Linked DNA regions of Drosophila melanogaster. The protein of the gene in region 3 interacts with the protein of the main gene of each other region in a pairwise test. Each region holds a gene or a part of one and is shown on either strand. Other genes may lie near its edges.

The links.
Region 1: the proteins of CG5327 (region 3) and CG7966 interact in a two-hybrid assay, tested with the Drosophila melanogaster proteins (one large-scale study listed by BioGRID).
Region 2: the proteins of CG5327 (region 3) and CG1674 interact in a two-hybrid assay, tested with the Drosophila melanogaster proteins (one large-scale study listed by BioGRID).

What each region holds. Positions count from the first base shown.
Region 1 is NT_033777.3:13,048,646-13,053,285, forward strand, and holds CG7966 (uncharacterized protein), read right to left. Parts: upstream 2,809-4,640; 5' UTR 2,762-2,808; coding exon 2,749-2,761; intron 2,639-2,748; coding exon 2,475-2,638; intron 2,280-2,474; coding exon 1,810-2,279; intron 1,747-1,809; coding exon 1,254-1,746; intron 1,192-1,253; coding exon 1,066-1,191; intron 997-1,065; coding exon 802-996; 3' UTR 753-801; downstream 1-752. Other genes in the region: CG31157 (uncharacterized protein), read left to right, coding at 60-385, 436-529; pic (piccolo), read left to right, coding at 3,764-3,824, 3,978-4,389, 4,592-4,640.
Region 2 is NC_004353.4:229,559-234,677, reverse strand, and holds the start of CG1674 (uncharacterized protein), read right to left. Parts: upstream 3,253-5,119; 5' UTR 3,078-3,252; exon of another isoform or gene 3,051-3,077; intron 2,829-3,050; exon of another isoform or gene 2,744-2,828; 5' UTR 2,725-2,743; coding exon 2,701-2,724; intron 2,400-2,700; coding exon of another isoform or gene 1,830-2,399; intron 414-1,829; coding exon 333-413; intron 1-332. Other genes in the region: yellow-h, read right to left, coding at 4,279-4,767, 5,107-5,119.
Region 3 is NT_033778.4:18,613,545-18,619,349, reverse strand, and holds CG5327 (uncharacterized protein), read right to left. Parts: upstream 3,363-5,805; 5' UTR 3,300-3,362; coding exon 3,213-3,299; intron 3,154-3,212; coding exon 2,989-3,153; intron 2,910-2,988; coding exon 2,712-2,909; 3' UTR 2,407-2,711; coding exon of another isoform or gene 2,228-2,406; 3' UTR 2,196-2,227; intron 2,151-2,195; coding exon of another isoform or gene 1,613-2,150; 3' UTR 1,033-1,612; downstream 1-1,032. Other genes in the region: CG5493 (uncharacterized protein), read left to right, coding at 1,613-2,150, 2,228-2,406; CG5323 (uncharacterized protein), read right to left, coding at 3,592-3,780, 3,878-4,042, 4,103-4,189; mRpS28 (mitochondrial ribosomal protein S28), read left to right, coding at 4,407-4,685, 4,747-4,868, 4,926-5,109; CG10927 (uncharacterized protein), read right to left, coding at 5,141-5,805.

The DNA.
Region 1 (4,640 bases), on a different chromosome or scaffold from region 3:
GTTAGTTGTTGCAAAAGTACAAAGTGTAACTTTCTAGCTAAATATACAATATTTTTTAGGTGGTTCAATTACTTTTATTGAAAAGATTGAATGTAAATCAAGCCAATGCTCTGGCTTCCTTTATAAGCGGTTCGTCGTTTGCTCTTCTATCAAATCGTCTCACATTCATGTGTTTTGCAATTGTAACTGCCATCCAGGTGATTTGGAGCCAGGTGTGCAATACTAAAGATGAAAAGGATTCGGTTCTATCTGCAGTGCGAAAGATTCCCTGGGCTAGACTGCTGATACCCTGTAGTCTGGCATACCTGGTGCACATTTTCTTCTACCACCAAAGGCATCTCAATGAGATGGCCCGGAGTTTCATAGACTGCACGTGTGATAACAAGTTAGTAAGCCTTATGTTAATATATATAATTATTAATTATTTAATTGCAGTGGCCAACGATTGTTGAATCTGATAGGTCTTCCCAGTGTCAATGCGATACTACAAGCTGTGGATAGGACACCTAAAACTTCCTTTTTGTTTTAATTATATTGATATATAAAAATCATAAACATTTTCAGAATGAAATTATATGTGACCGTTAATCATGAAATCATTTGCCAACCATATAACGTTTTAAACAATGCGCATAAATTATTTTTAGCCAATCAGAAACGTGTTTTGAATATGGCAAACTTATCAGCTAATGGCGATATCCGTGACTAGTGATGGAGTAGAGAATGGAGATGTCTCCAAAATAATAATGTATACCTTTAAAAGAATGAGTTTATTAAATCTTTACAAAATTGGAATCAAGATTACGCATCATTAGCCAGCCAAATGTCCGATGTGCAATCACCGCCAGGATAACGCATTTCGTGGGGCAAACTAGGACCATAGGGTTCATTGGCGAAGTCCACCAAAAAGTCCTCATTGAGGGAAATTCCTCCATTCACAGTGTCCACATCAATCAGGACAATATGACCGCCCTGCGAAACCATTTTTGGATAGAACTAAAGAGATTGGGAGTTAATTATATTTAAAAAAATATATATATAGAGTGATCCTGGTTAAGATCTTACCTGCTTATCCCATGGCGAATACAGAGATGAGGAGACATACAAGCGCTTGCCATCGAGGGATAGCTGCAGCATTTGGGGACCTCCTTCCAAGCGACGTCCCTTCACGTAACGAGCTGGAGGTCTCTCCTGAAAATGAAGAAAAGGCCTGGTTATAGTACGAGTTATATAGCAATATCGCATCTGTGTACCTTCAGTTCTTTATCCTCCTTAACAATCACATTTGGCAAATCACTGCATATCGCACCGCCAAGGAAAAGCTGACCAGTCAGCTTCGGATTCTCGGGATCGGTGATATCATATTGTCTCACATCGCCATGTCGCCAACAGTTGACATATAGAAATCGGTCGTCCAAAGAGATGATAATGTCCGAAATCATGCCACCCATATCTTCAGCTACTCCACTGCCGGTATCGACCAGTTTGCCGGGTATGTCTATTACCTTCTTGGCTTCAAATTCATCGGAATCTGATTTCTTCTTAAAGTGGAACACCTTGGCATTGAGGGCACATCCCACGAATCCCTCTGCCTTCTTAGGATTGTGCAGAAATCGAATCTCCAGGGGCGTTATGCCATCCGATCCCAGGTCGATGGTCTGGTAGAGAGTCTGCGTGGACCATTTGTAGAAGTTGAGACGACAGCCGTACTGAGACATATCCTCCAGGTCAACATTCTTCCAGCCTCTGAAAAAAAGGTTGACAAATATTATGATAAACTATGTATTTAGTGGTTATATCGAGACTAACCGTCGCCATTTATTGGGAGCTCCCCATTCCGAAGAAACCATGACATCGAAATATGGCTGATACCAGAAATCGTATCCGCACAATGCCTTCTTATCGCCCTTGGTCCAAGTACCGATGCAATTGAAGTCCGAATCGAAGAGGATAAAGTCACCCTTGGCATATCCCTCTGCATCGCCCATCACGGATATCATGATGTTCCCATTGGCCAAACAGTGTGTGGTATGCGGAGCCGTCACATTGTGGCTCTTCAAGACATCACCATCAATGGTCTTGACAATCTCGGGCTTTCGCGGATCCGTAACCACATCGAGTATGTATATAAAGTCGGAATTTAGGGACGGTAATACCAGCCTATCTCTTTTTGGCACCGTCTTAGAGCTCTCGTCGACATAGTAACAACTGGAGCAGGCGTTCCAGCCAGAATGATGCAGTTCATCACCCTTGCGATTTGTAAACGTACGGTGCACTATCTGCAAAATGATGTTAATAATGATGTAAATATGGAATCTGTAATACAAATATCCGAATTGGAAATATACATATATTCGAAAGTGATTGCTATAAATCCATTGATATAAAATCCAATTGAGCTAATTATTAAGTACATAGTATTGTTTGTCCCGCAAGATAAATGATCGAATAGTGTAGATACCTGATTTATTTACCTGACAGTAGGTGGGGCTCTCGGGATCCACGTCGACTGTGGACAGATAATCGCCGTGCGGCTCATCCAAGTTGGGCTGAACGGTGACCGTGTAGAGGAGCTTCTCCCGGGGACCACTCCTCATGGCGTCCAGGGGGGTTGCGTAACCCGGTCCTCGGCAACAGGCTTGGGAATAACAATTCAATTATCAAAATTGCTCGGGATTGTCTTTATCAAAGATTCAGGGCATGTGTTTGCAGTACAATGTGTACATATACGTCTCTTGTTTTTCTTACTTTTATTGGACATTGCTTGGCGGTTGTTGTGGGTCGAAGAACAGCGGCAAACTGAATATCAAACGATGTTGAGCGGGAGCTTTATATATTGGGGCTCTCTCGGAGATACTTATCTTTATACTCTCTTAAAGCATTTACTAAAGAGAACCGGTTCGGCCGGCTTTCTTATCACTAATACAGGTAAGGTCAGGTCAGTAATGTGTATAGATTAGGTTTAGCTCGTTTTCGTGGACTTATTGAACATGAGGAACATATGTATAATAATAAAAAACCAAAACAAACAACGCCCCTAGAGATAAGGCTATATAATTTATTTACTTAAATTAAGCTCATTTCTATTTTAGACATTTTCTCTTGTCTTCGTTATTTATTTTTAATTAGTATATTATATTTAATTATACGTATTCAATACAAGAAAATAAGTAAACAAGTAAATAACTTGTAGGGGAATATCTGAACAATCTGTCATGTAATAACAATGATTGCTTTAGAAATTTAAGTAAAGTGTGGGTAATAGTGGTATTAAAGGCACTTATTACAAAAGCTATTTTCAAACAGTTTCAGTTTAACCGCAATTTGAAGGCGTCCCAGAGCTGCAAAGAAACGAAATCGATTTTTCTTGCCAAAAGAGAGAGTTGGGGCAACACAACACATATCGATATTCGTTTTTTTCTGGCTTATGCGATGACTGTAAATGATCTTCTAGACTTTTATGGAAATCTTAAATGTGTCATTTGCTTGTACAAGAATCAAAACAAGCTTATAAAATCCACGCGCTCTCTGCAACATAATTTATATTGAACATAAATGGAATACCTTCCAAAATAAAAAGTATATTTTCCTGAGCCGGACAGTATTAGTTCTTAACAGTTGAACGGTCACACTACGTGTCAGGAAACATTTTAGCGCGTTAAAAGTCAGCGAAAACGATTTTTATCCTCGTGGCGGCTGACTAGTCCAAAGTTGAAGAGCTCTATCGAATTAAGGATAACCTGATCCTGGACAGTGTGCAGTCATGTCGCATCACTACGTGGTGACGGCGCAAAAGCCGACGGCCGTTGTTGCCTGCCTAACAGGTAAGAACAAGAGAGCGTGTGAAAGAGAGGGGCTCCCTATGCGGTCTCCCCCGGCGAAAACAGAAAACAAGCATGTTTGCCGGTCGCCGGATTACACAAGCCCATGAAACAGATTTGTTTGCTTAGCACCGGCTTCTTTGGTATGCTCCTCAGGCAACTTCACCTCGCCCACGGATCTCAATTTGATCATTGCCCGGAACAATCAGGTGGAAATCGATCTGGTCACGCCGGAGGGACTGCGCCCCCTAAAAGAGATCAACATAAATGGCACCATTGCCGTGATGCGCCACTTCCGACCGCCCGACAGCAACAAGGATTTGCTCTTCATACTGACGCGTCGTTACAACGTCATGATCCTCGAGGCCCGTATGGTCAACGACGTCATCACGGTGGTGACCAAGGCCAATGGTAATGTTTCCGACTCGGTGGGCATCCCCTCCGAAGGAGGAGTTATTGCGGCCATCGATCCCAAGGCTAGGGTCATCGGAATGTGCCTTTACCAGGGGCTGTTCACCATCATTCCGATGGACAAGGATGCTAGCGAGCTGAAAGCCACAAATCTTAGGTAATTCCGGTGAATTCTATAGTAGTTTGACAAATACGTGTGAGCATGACATCGGCGCCTTATCATGTTTTACCCTGTTTTGTATTTTTAATGAATCATTTTCATTTTTTCATTCACTACTAGTTACTAGTAAGTAACTAGTAAATGTTTTATGATTGAAGCTGTATTAAGCTCCAAAATAATGTATCCCTTCACCCTTCAGAATGGATGAGCTAAACGTGTACGATGTTGAGTTTCTGCACGGCTGCTTG
Region 2 (5,119 bases), on a different chromosome or scaffold from region 3:
CAGATTTCATTGACAGACGCAGCACGAGTTTGTTTCTTTTTGTTGCACGCCCACTCTAACGCCCACAAGCCGCCCAAAACAGTCACGCCCACAAGTTTCTTTTCTGGTGTTGCCAGACCCACAGTTTTTTTTTTAATTTTATCATATGTCTTTCCGATTTCTATCGGTAACAATTATGCCCACCCAAATGCCCGAAAACCGCCAAAAATGTTATATATATTTTAAAAATGTAACGTCACAAAAGTTAATATGAAGACGTGTTTATATTTTTTAATAATTACACATGAATTTGTATTGAAATGAGCTATAAAACTGTGTATAGTCTTACTTACCGGTTCATTTAGCGAAACAAGGTCTGCTTTAGTGTTTTCGGCCGATAAATCAGATGCAATGGATGTTGGGTCATTGACATTCTAAAAATAAAGTACACTTTAAAGATCTAATCGAAATTGATAATGTATGATTTGCACGAAGCTGTAAGTAAACTTTTGTAAGCTGCGTATTAAAATAATGAAGTGCAGCTGAATGAATGTTCCAAAATTTTAAACCAAATCATACAATAATTAATAAATCAATTATAATATTAAACATATGCAATTAAACAACACAGTTCAAAGAGTCGTAGGCTTTTGCCTTATGTTTGACAAAATTTACTCTGCAGAACTGCAGAAGCTTAAATAATTATTTGCTTGTGCTCAAATATAAGCGTTATACCTAGATTAATACCCATGCAGAGTCAGAGTTTTTCGTATATATCTGAGTAGTTCCCCTATCCGTATCCGGTTCCGAAAAGCACATAGTTATAAAGCTTGACTATTTCCAACATTATTTTTTAAAACGCACTTTAAAACAAGAGAGAATGCTATAGTCGAGTTCGCCGACTATCAGATACCCGTTACTCAACTAGTGTGAATGCGAAGCCGAAATTTTATAATTATTATTGGATATCAATAGATATTGGGGAATAAAATGAGAAAAAAAATTTAACATTGTTTAAAAATGTGGGCGCGTCCGTTTTGATAGTTTTGTAGGTGAAAAAATGGGCGGACAACAGTGTTTTTGGTATACAGACAAAAATTGTATGCTTAATCTCAACCTTCTAGCTTTTTTAGTTCCTGAGATGTCAACTTTCATACAGGTGGACACTTCCAGATCGACTCGGCTATCGATCCAGATCAAGAATATATATACTTTATATGGTTGGAAACGCTTCCTTCTGACTGTTACATATTGATCAAAGATCTAGTATACCCTTTTACTTCACGAGTAACCGGTTTAGAATATGCAAAAGTGTGGGGATGACAGTTTCCGCGGTTGATGAACGTTGGAGTATGAGGGCCAATCTTTTAAAACCAACTTGCAGAAATGTCACTGGTATCAGAATGCTGAAAGTGCATATTCATATTCATATATATCTTGAAGTTTAAATGGACAAACAGGCGGAAATGGCGACAACAATTCTAAAAGAGATCCTAATCCATTCCGCCTTTTATCTGATTTTGAAGATTACGAGTAATCAGGACATTAATTCCTTAAACTTGTTAGAATTTCTTTAAAAATATAAAAACGTTTCAACAATATTTTTTTTTTACCTAAATCATGTTTTAAATATTATTGACTTAGATCCAAGTACCTGGACTAAGTTACTAAGTTACAAATACACATTTAGACTTTATGAAGTAAAAAATAAATGTAGCCTTTGCAGGGTATATGGTAAGTTAGGGCAACATTTGCTTTACTTTTTCTTTATAAATATTATGTTAAATAAAAAACATTTTTGAAGCTTGAAGGCGATAATTTAGGTCTGTTATTCTTAAAAATACAAATACTTTTTCCGACGAAGATTTAGTGGTATCCTGTGATTTGCAATTTTCGATAGCTTTATCATCTTCGCCTTTAATTAGAATGTTCGACGTGTCTTGAACAGGTGATTCGTTTTCCGCATTCGATGAATTTTCACCATTAGTACTCCCATCTATTAAGTCCAACTCGAAATTATTCTCAGAAACGGTGGACAAATTTTCCACAGATATTAATGGGTCCGTTTTAATAGATGCATCTATAATAATAGGGTTATTGGATTCGGAGTCTTCTATCTCAACAGTTCTCTCCATATCCGATGAGCTAATATCTAAAGACGGCTTGTCAATTAGTGCAGCTGGGTTTACTTCCAAATCTGTTGTATTTTTTTTCTCTGAATTACAGTCTTCAGATTCGCTTTCTTCAATTTTTAGATCGTCATCATCTTTATTATCTCTTGAAGTGACGGGTTTATCAAAACCACTGTCAATATAAGATACCAAGAGTTTTTCATTGAGATTATCATTATCTTGGGGAGTAGTTTTAATCTCATCAGCGTAATCTATTTGGGTTTCATTTTTTGTAGCAATTTCTTTCTCCTTTAGATTGTAGAAAATATGAGTTTGTAAAGTTTATTTCTATCTATTTATTAAATGGTAATATTACTATTATTTACATTAAAAATGATGGCAAAAAACGTAAACGGTATATTTAGTTAATAATTACAATAATTTATTTAAATAAATGTATTACCATTTTCTCTCTGAGAAAATTGTCAAAAGTAAATGTATAACAATGTAAAAGATGTAAAAAATCTTGTAAAAAATCTAAGCACTTTGAATTTTTTATAGGTGAATATTATATTTATATTAATTAATTAAATATTGTTTTTTGACTTACCTCAATATTTAAAGTAGAATCCATATCTAAAAGCTGTACAAATCTATAAAATAATAATAAAATGTAGAGAAAGGAATTTATATTTGTATCGTCTCAACAGGTAGGCAGGTCCTGCATTATTATTATTACATAAGGGTGTAATTTATAATAAAGCACATGCAACACACTCAGTTATAAAATATCGCATTTTATGCTGAATGTAAATACATATAGAGACACTCAAATAATGTTCGTTGGTGCTGTTATTATGTAATACATAGTGAGAAGCATATACAACATGAATGTTAATTTCTCTTCGACCACACTAACTTTTCTTTTTTTTAATATCCATAATAATAATTTACACGTACATATATCAAATATATCTTTTCACTTGCCTATTTCCCAATGTTATTTGTTTAAAAAAATATTTACTGCAAACAATACTGTAGTATCGAATTATTGAAAGATAATAATACAACTAAAATCCGTATAGGCCAATAGAATGAACATGAATTCATGCGCCTGCCTTTAAGAATATGATTGCACATCAAAGATAGCTTCCACACTGTCCACATGCTTATTTACTTGATTATCGGCTCGTTCGCATACAGCAATTTGGGAAATGTGTATTTAAAAGTCACACACAAATACATTTATTTTCACAAATACAAAAATATTTTCTCGTAAATTTATACGTATGTATACAGCATCTTTGTTCGGCAAACAAGCGCATCGATGAGAGCCCCTTTTATTGGAACGGAGTACTTTATTTACTATTTTTATAGTTATAAGTCGCAGTGTCTTATATGCACTTACATACATACCTTGTTTTTAAAACTTAAATTTACGAATGAGTAAAGTGCGAACCATCTTTAAGTTAACATCGCCCAAATTTGATTATATTCAAAGTAATATCTCGAGAAAATACTGTAACATGAATATACATATATCCATTGATGTTCGATATTTCTTTATAGATAGTAATATTCTCTTTTAGAGATGTTATATTAAGTACACCCAAAATCAAACCACTTTCAGAGGAAACTAATGACGATAACACGAACTTGAAGATACAATAGAAGAAAGAACACGCTCCCTACCTGTTACTTCTTACAATTGGATATAACCTTTCACAGTACGACTAAAAAATATAAATATATTACAAACAATTGTATACACGTTTGAATTTGAACCCTAATATTCATTCGTTGAAAACTAGAATGGCGGAGGGAAGAACTGCTGACCCATAAAGAATATACTTCGAATATTCGAGCAGAATCGCAAGCCAAGTTGATCTAGCAATGTACGTCCATTTTAATTTCGTGATCTTTAAAATTTTAAAAGCTAGAAAGCTAATTTTAGATACGTATGTTCTTAAAAGTCCGATCTTATGCCAATTTGGAACTCGTACACGTTTAAAAACTGTTATTCTTTTAGTCAATTTAGTTAATTGCTTGGACACAACAAAGCGCAAAAATCTGTTAGACCCAAACCTTCAAAAAAGGTACTAGAGTATCATTTGTAACGGACGCAAATACCAAGGTTGTTCAAAAATTTACAACATTTTGTTGTGTAATTGTTTATTTACCATAGTTTTCAAAAACACTGTCCTTCTTCTATCAACACAAAAGCTGACTTTGATGTATTAATATAACTATTATCCGGATTGCAAACACTATTGCGAATAATCTTATTTACATTCGCCTTTAAAATTCGAAAATTTACTTCTCCATAATCTAGATTGCTGTATAGAAAAATTGGTAGTCGGTTACTTATAAGCCATACATTTTGATCTTTTTCTTTGTCTACTTTTAAATCATTTGGAAATTGAATAAGATTTGAGTTTTCCATATTATGAAATTTTCCCAAATGTGCTCGAGTGTATGGTTTCGATGTATCCCAGCATCCAATATCATCTTGATGAACTTGTGTAAAAAACATAATGCCATTCCTTGTAACTCCTGATGTAGATGATTGAGAATTATATCCGCGGTCTCCAATTGGTATGAAGTACTTGGCGTACTCTTGAGTATTCGTTTGCCACACAGATTCGTTTAACAAGATATTCATAGGCACCATGAACTCCTAAATGAGAAAGTATTATAATCACAATTATTATTATTATTATATCAGTTACTCGTAGAGTATAAGGGATTGCTAGTTTGGTTAATAAAAATAAAACAGAAATAAGCCTTTTCGGACCCTACAAGCTGCAGATAATTAGCTTACTTAAGATTTAGATTTATTTAAGTACCTTAAGTAAGACTGATCAAGTAGTAAGCTGTAGGAGGGGTTTTTAAAAGTAAGTCGGCGAGCCATTATTTAGACAATAAAGACAATGTTAAGAAAGGCATTTTTTAAAATCAATATCAAATCAATTCCCAGCCATTTTCTTGTCTTTATTTATATACTCCTTATACTCACCTTGAAACTTGCC
Region 3 (5,805 bases):
GTGAAAGATACCCAAAACGGGCACATAAGCTCGGCGACGCGCATCCAAGTGGCAACTACCCAGTGAAAAGTCGAAAAAGTGCAATACCAAGTCCTGAAATTAAAAGTGTTTTTAAAAAGTGAATTTCAAGTTCATAAAAAATTATTCAGTTGCCATAGCTAAGAGAGAAATTCCAAGAAGTCAAACAAAATGGTAAGTCCTTTATCCTTCAAATCCCTTTCCCTGCTGAAATTGTACGAAAATCAGAAAATCAAACTTAAATCGTAGTTTGTTGAACTGTTTCGAAAATTGGCAACTGCTTTTCACCAATTTTCCAAGCTATTTGTTCGCATAATATTTACGCAAATGGCAGTTCGCAGCTTTTAGTTTTTGCTTTGACTTTGCTATTGGCCTTAACCTGTTGCGAAAGTTGGCTGCCAGCTTGGCAGTTTATGCTTTTTGGCCATTGCAAAACATTTTTCAAATACCTTGATGTGGCACCAAGGGGAAAAGATTTAACAACATTGCATGGGGATCGTAAAAAAGTTATTACCTTTAATGCAAGCTCAAGTGTTTTATTTATTTCGAGTTTTCACCTGAAGTTATATAATTAAATTTATGAGTTCAATTCATATCGTGTTAGGAGAAACAATGACAGAATCATTTTCTTTGTTTAACATTTTAATGGAGAAAGTAAGGTCAGTGTGTTAGTCACTAATTAACTTCCTGAGTAACAAAGACACGACTGATCTGCTGACAAATGGCAGGCAATTGAGAGAAATCTGTAACGAACCTGAAAGTAGGCAATACTTTCTCGAAACAAAAAGTATCTCAAAGTGTTTCGGTTAACTATAATCCAAAACTAGAGAAAGTCGCGGTTCTTTTTTTCAAATGAATTTGCGGGAAAATCCCGGCTGGTAAGACCCGCAGATCTTGAAAGCAAATTCGTCAGCATCCAGATTCAACCAGCTATCAGTTATCAATTGGTATATTAACGTATCAGTGACAATGCCCGTATCGCCCAAATATTTTTTATTGTCGGCTCCAGAGTATATTGTGGAATAAATTTGTTTTTTATTTGCCAAACGATCCCATTAGATCGCCGTTAACCTCTTGTCTCAAATTCAGGCACATCTGTTGAGCCCCTCCTGGCAACATTCGATCTATCATCATCTACTGAGAAATACGTGTATTATATAGCCGAGGGTATTGGTAAAATCTGCTATTGATAAGTTGGATGGACGGTTATCGCCGGCGACTTCTTGTTTTTGTTATTGTTTTGGACTTGCGCCTCCGATTTACGTCGGATCCGAGCTGATTATGCAGCCTGGACAGGAGAGCGAAATCTCCAGAATTCAGTTCGAATTTTGCGATCCGAGGTGGAGCGTGTGCGGTTAGTCGAAGCAATTCAATCAATTGTAACAGCAACGAATCGGAATATTCATATATATATATACCAATAGCTATTATCAGCGATCATCGACTTTACAACGTAATTCATCTAAATCAATTGAGCAGTGATCTTTATAGACTTTATAGGTAGTTTTCCACGCCCTTCAGCCTCAACTGATGCACCACCACTCTAACTTCCGCTTCCCTTTTCGCAACCTAGGTCAATCAGAGCAAGCCCAAAATGGCCCTGTCCAAGATCGACACCGAGATCGAGCAGGTTGACCAGGAGAAGTACCTGCGTCAGGCCACTAGCTACTATCAGCCGCTGGAGAAACCCCTGAAATACGGACCGGAGGTGAATTCCCTATCGGACTTGGTGGCCGCCCTTCACCGGGAATTCGAGTCGAACTATGTTAACATCGAGATGGTGAATCACCTTATGCTCAGCTACAAGTCCAATCCGCGGGAGTGGCGCAAATATGCCAAGTTCGATCGTTACACCTACACGCGGAATCTCGTGGATGCTGGCAATGGAAAGTTCAATCTGCTGATTCTGTGCTGGGGCGAAGGACACGGCTCCTCGGTGCACGACCATGCCGATTCCCATTGCTTCATGAAGATGCTGAAGGGTGATCTGCGCGAGAAGCGCTACGAGTATCCCAATAGATCTGCCAGGGACAACGGCCGGTCCCATCATCCCGATGGCGAGATCGATAGCCGAGAGCTGGTGGAGATTGGGGAGACACCAATCGCCGTCAATGATGTGGCCTACATAAATGGTGAGAAAATTAGAAACTTTAAAAGTGGGGTATTCCTATACTTACTGTTTTTTTTTTTTTCGTTTTGTTATCCATAGACAATCTGGGTCTGCATCGCGTGGAGAACCCCAGCCATTCGGATACCTCTGTCTCCCTTCACCTATACTGTCCACCCTTCGACACGTGCTCCGTGTTCCAGGACAACCTGAAGAAGACCACCGCCAAGGTCACCTTCTGGAGCAAATACGGCGTGAGGACGAAGCAGAACGAGCAGTAGATCCATCAAGATCCTAAAAATATAGCCTCTCGTATTGTTGCATAATACTAAGAATCTTTATTACTAGATATTTAATGAGCTAGGGCCTAAGAAGATCCGGGAGCTGAGCTATCAAACATGGCGAGCAAGGGCCACGTTGGCGCTGATAAGTTCCCATTCCAATCCATTGGCTATCCCGGATCACAGCAGCGATTAGTGTACTTTAAGTGTTAGCTGTACCAAAAATATTCAATAAATAAGTGAACCATTGACAACTGCTTGAATGTGCTTTTTTAAATGTCACCAGATCCTGAATTGCATCCCGGTTAGACATCCATGTTGCGTGATCTTTTCGGCGGACCCCTGTCCAGTGTTTGCTTGATCGACTTGAGCAGACCAGGTATCAGGTTTATGTACTTGTCCACACAGTTGTTCGTGCAACTCTCAAACATGTGCTGGGATCGGGACATGTCCCGGTCACTCGGATTGCTGGGCATCTGAGACCGCGCATCGCTGTTGCAATCCTGCGGGTTGGCAATCGTATTAAAAATAGGATATATCAATCCAATATTAAGCATTTATAATTATAGTTTAAGCTCCTACCCTAACGCAGTTTTGAAGTCTATTCTGGAATTGGCCCAGCTCGTGCTGCAGGAAATCCTGGGCATCCATCAGGGGACCGGCGCACTTCTCGATGCAGTTCTGTACGCTCTCCAGCGTCCCTCGATCATCGTCGCAGCAGCGGGCGGCACAGCGGTGCATCGTGGACTTGGAAACAACGTTCTTACCAGAAATTCATAGTAGGCAAGTGGAGGCCACACACTCACCTGCATTCTGCGCAAGTGGGTGCGGTACATGTCCTCGATCATTTCGCTAATGGCGCCCTCCAAGCGCTTTTTTTGTTGCTCCACCATTTCAATTTAAAATTTGAACAATTTCGAAAGAACAAAACAAAATGTTGAATTGACAGTTTTCGGTGTACAAAGTATGTTTATTTTTTTTACTGATGGCAAAACTTGACATTCTTCCGAAGATTGTTAGCACAACAGTTGTTGGTTGCTGCTTAAGACTTTCAACAATTAATAAGGTAATTTTTGTTCTATATTCTTAAAAGCAAAATTTGAAATGACTCCAGAGATGGGACTCATTGCACGGTTTTAAAATAAACGAATTCAACAACTAATTATGTAGTAAATGCAGGTTGAGTTAGACTTGGGGAATGCTCTCGGGTCCCTTGGAGAGCACAGCCTTCATGGTCTTCATCATGCCGGGAATGAGGCCCACATGCTTGTCCACACACTGGATGGCACAGCGCTCGAATTGGTCGGTGTACTTGGCTATCTGATCCTCATTGGGACTGGGCGGCATTTTCACCTTCACATCGTCGTTGCATTGCTGCGGAAGAGGAGAATGTGAAATATGAGCGTTGCCTAATAATATTCTATTATTCTTAGAGCCACCAGGGCAAAAAGTTGGTGCAATGGATACTAACCATGACGCAACGTTGAAGTCTGCCCTGGAACTCGCCCAATTCGTGTTGAACGTAGTTCTGTGCCCTCGTCATGGGCGCGGAGCATCGATCCACACATCTCTGGACACTGTCCACGCTGGAGGTTCCATCCTGGCAGCACTTGGCCGCACACAAGTGCATCTCATTCTGGAATTTCGTGAAAAGCAAGTCAGTTTCGGGATATCCCCTAAAGCGAACTCCACTTACCTGCATTTTGCGCAGGTGCGTCTTGTCCATGTCGTCGATCATCTCCGTTACCGCGGCCTCGATTTTCTGGCGCTGTTGCTGGATCATTTTGCTTGTTTAATTGTTAATTACCTACGTCTTACAACCGATTTCGTAATATCAAAATAAATGCCGGCAGCGTGTTTTTTGTAATATTCGATTAGTGATGAGCCGACGCAGCTGCTAATAATCGATTAGCAGTCTATCGGTGCCGCTCTTCTTCTTTGGTTTTCCACTTGGTTTTGGTTTTCTTGTGGATATTTTTGAGCAATATTAAATTAAAACCATGTCGCTCTTGCAAAAACTAAGCAGATCTGGTGTACCGATGGCTTCATTAACCTGTCGTTCCCGAATGCCAATGGTCATTCGACTTATCAGCGGTAACACAGAAAAACCGGCGGAGGAATCTACTCCCGCAGTGAATACGGAAACGGCGGAGATTGGCAGCAGCAAGGGAGGATTCGCCCGTGCCTTCGACAAGTACACGGCACCAGCCACGCCTCCACAGCTGCCGGAAGACAACCAGACCTTCGCCTCCCTGCTGCGCAACTCCAAATTAATTGATGTGGGTACATTATTTAAGTAATCCCATTGTTTATGTAATAACTTGTTGATTTCTGGAGCAGCTGGACAACGCCGAGGGCAAGGTGGTCAGTGGCAAGATCTTTCATGTGGTGGGCGATGATCTCTACATAGACTTTGGTTGGAAGTTTCACTGCGTCTGCAGTCGTCCAACACGCAATGCCAGGTGAGTTCAATATAATTTCCTGTCTCTTTATCCAATAAACCGCCTTTCCTACTTCAGCGACTATGTGCGAGGAGCCCGTGTTCGACTGCGCATCAAGGACTTGGAGTTGTCCACCAAGTTTCTGGGTTCGTCCAAGGATATTACCATTCTAGAGGCAGATTGCCATTTGCTGGGTCTCCTGTCCACGCCCACCCGCCAGTCGACGGCCAAAACAACGCCGAAAATCGAAGATATCCTATAAATCCTTTATTAAAACCAAGGTTTGTTAAACGTTACGTCAAGTCTTCATCCTCCTTGGTTGTGAACTGGAACACTTCGTAGTGATGGTTGAGTTCCCGCACCGAATGCAGTTGGAATCTCGTGGCTAGAGCTCCGTTTTCAGAGTTCTTAACGAAAAATACTCTTTTCGCCCTGCTATGTACCAGGGCCATGGAGCACATAAGGCAGGGTTCCTGCAGCAGATAGATATCGTAGCCGGTGCACAGATAGGGTCCGAATTTGGCCAGGTTATCTGCTCCTTGAACTGCGTCCACTTCTTTGCATTCTCTCGACTTTTCCGCTCCGAATGTCAGGTCTTTGTAGTCTTCATTGTTCATCAGGTAATCGTAGTAGGCTTTAGGAATACCCCGCAGAGTGGTATCCTTCTTGAAATCTTCGGTGAATGTAACCTCCGTTTTTGTGGCGCCTCCTTCTTGACTGCGAGCCACAAAATCGACGAGCATCATGCAGCAGTGCTCGTGCGGCCTACAAACTTCACCAGTTCCAGCAATGGACACAATGCTGGGTTGTCGCGGATCCACGCAGATGCCCACCGGACGATTGGCATTGACATCCCGCGAGAGCCTCACAAGCAATTGCCCGATCCTTTTGTGAAATGTGCGTTGTGCGGAGCTAAAGTTGCTGCCATTCCTCAGTGACTCCGAGTAGTGATTAGGGT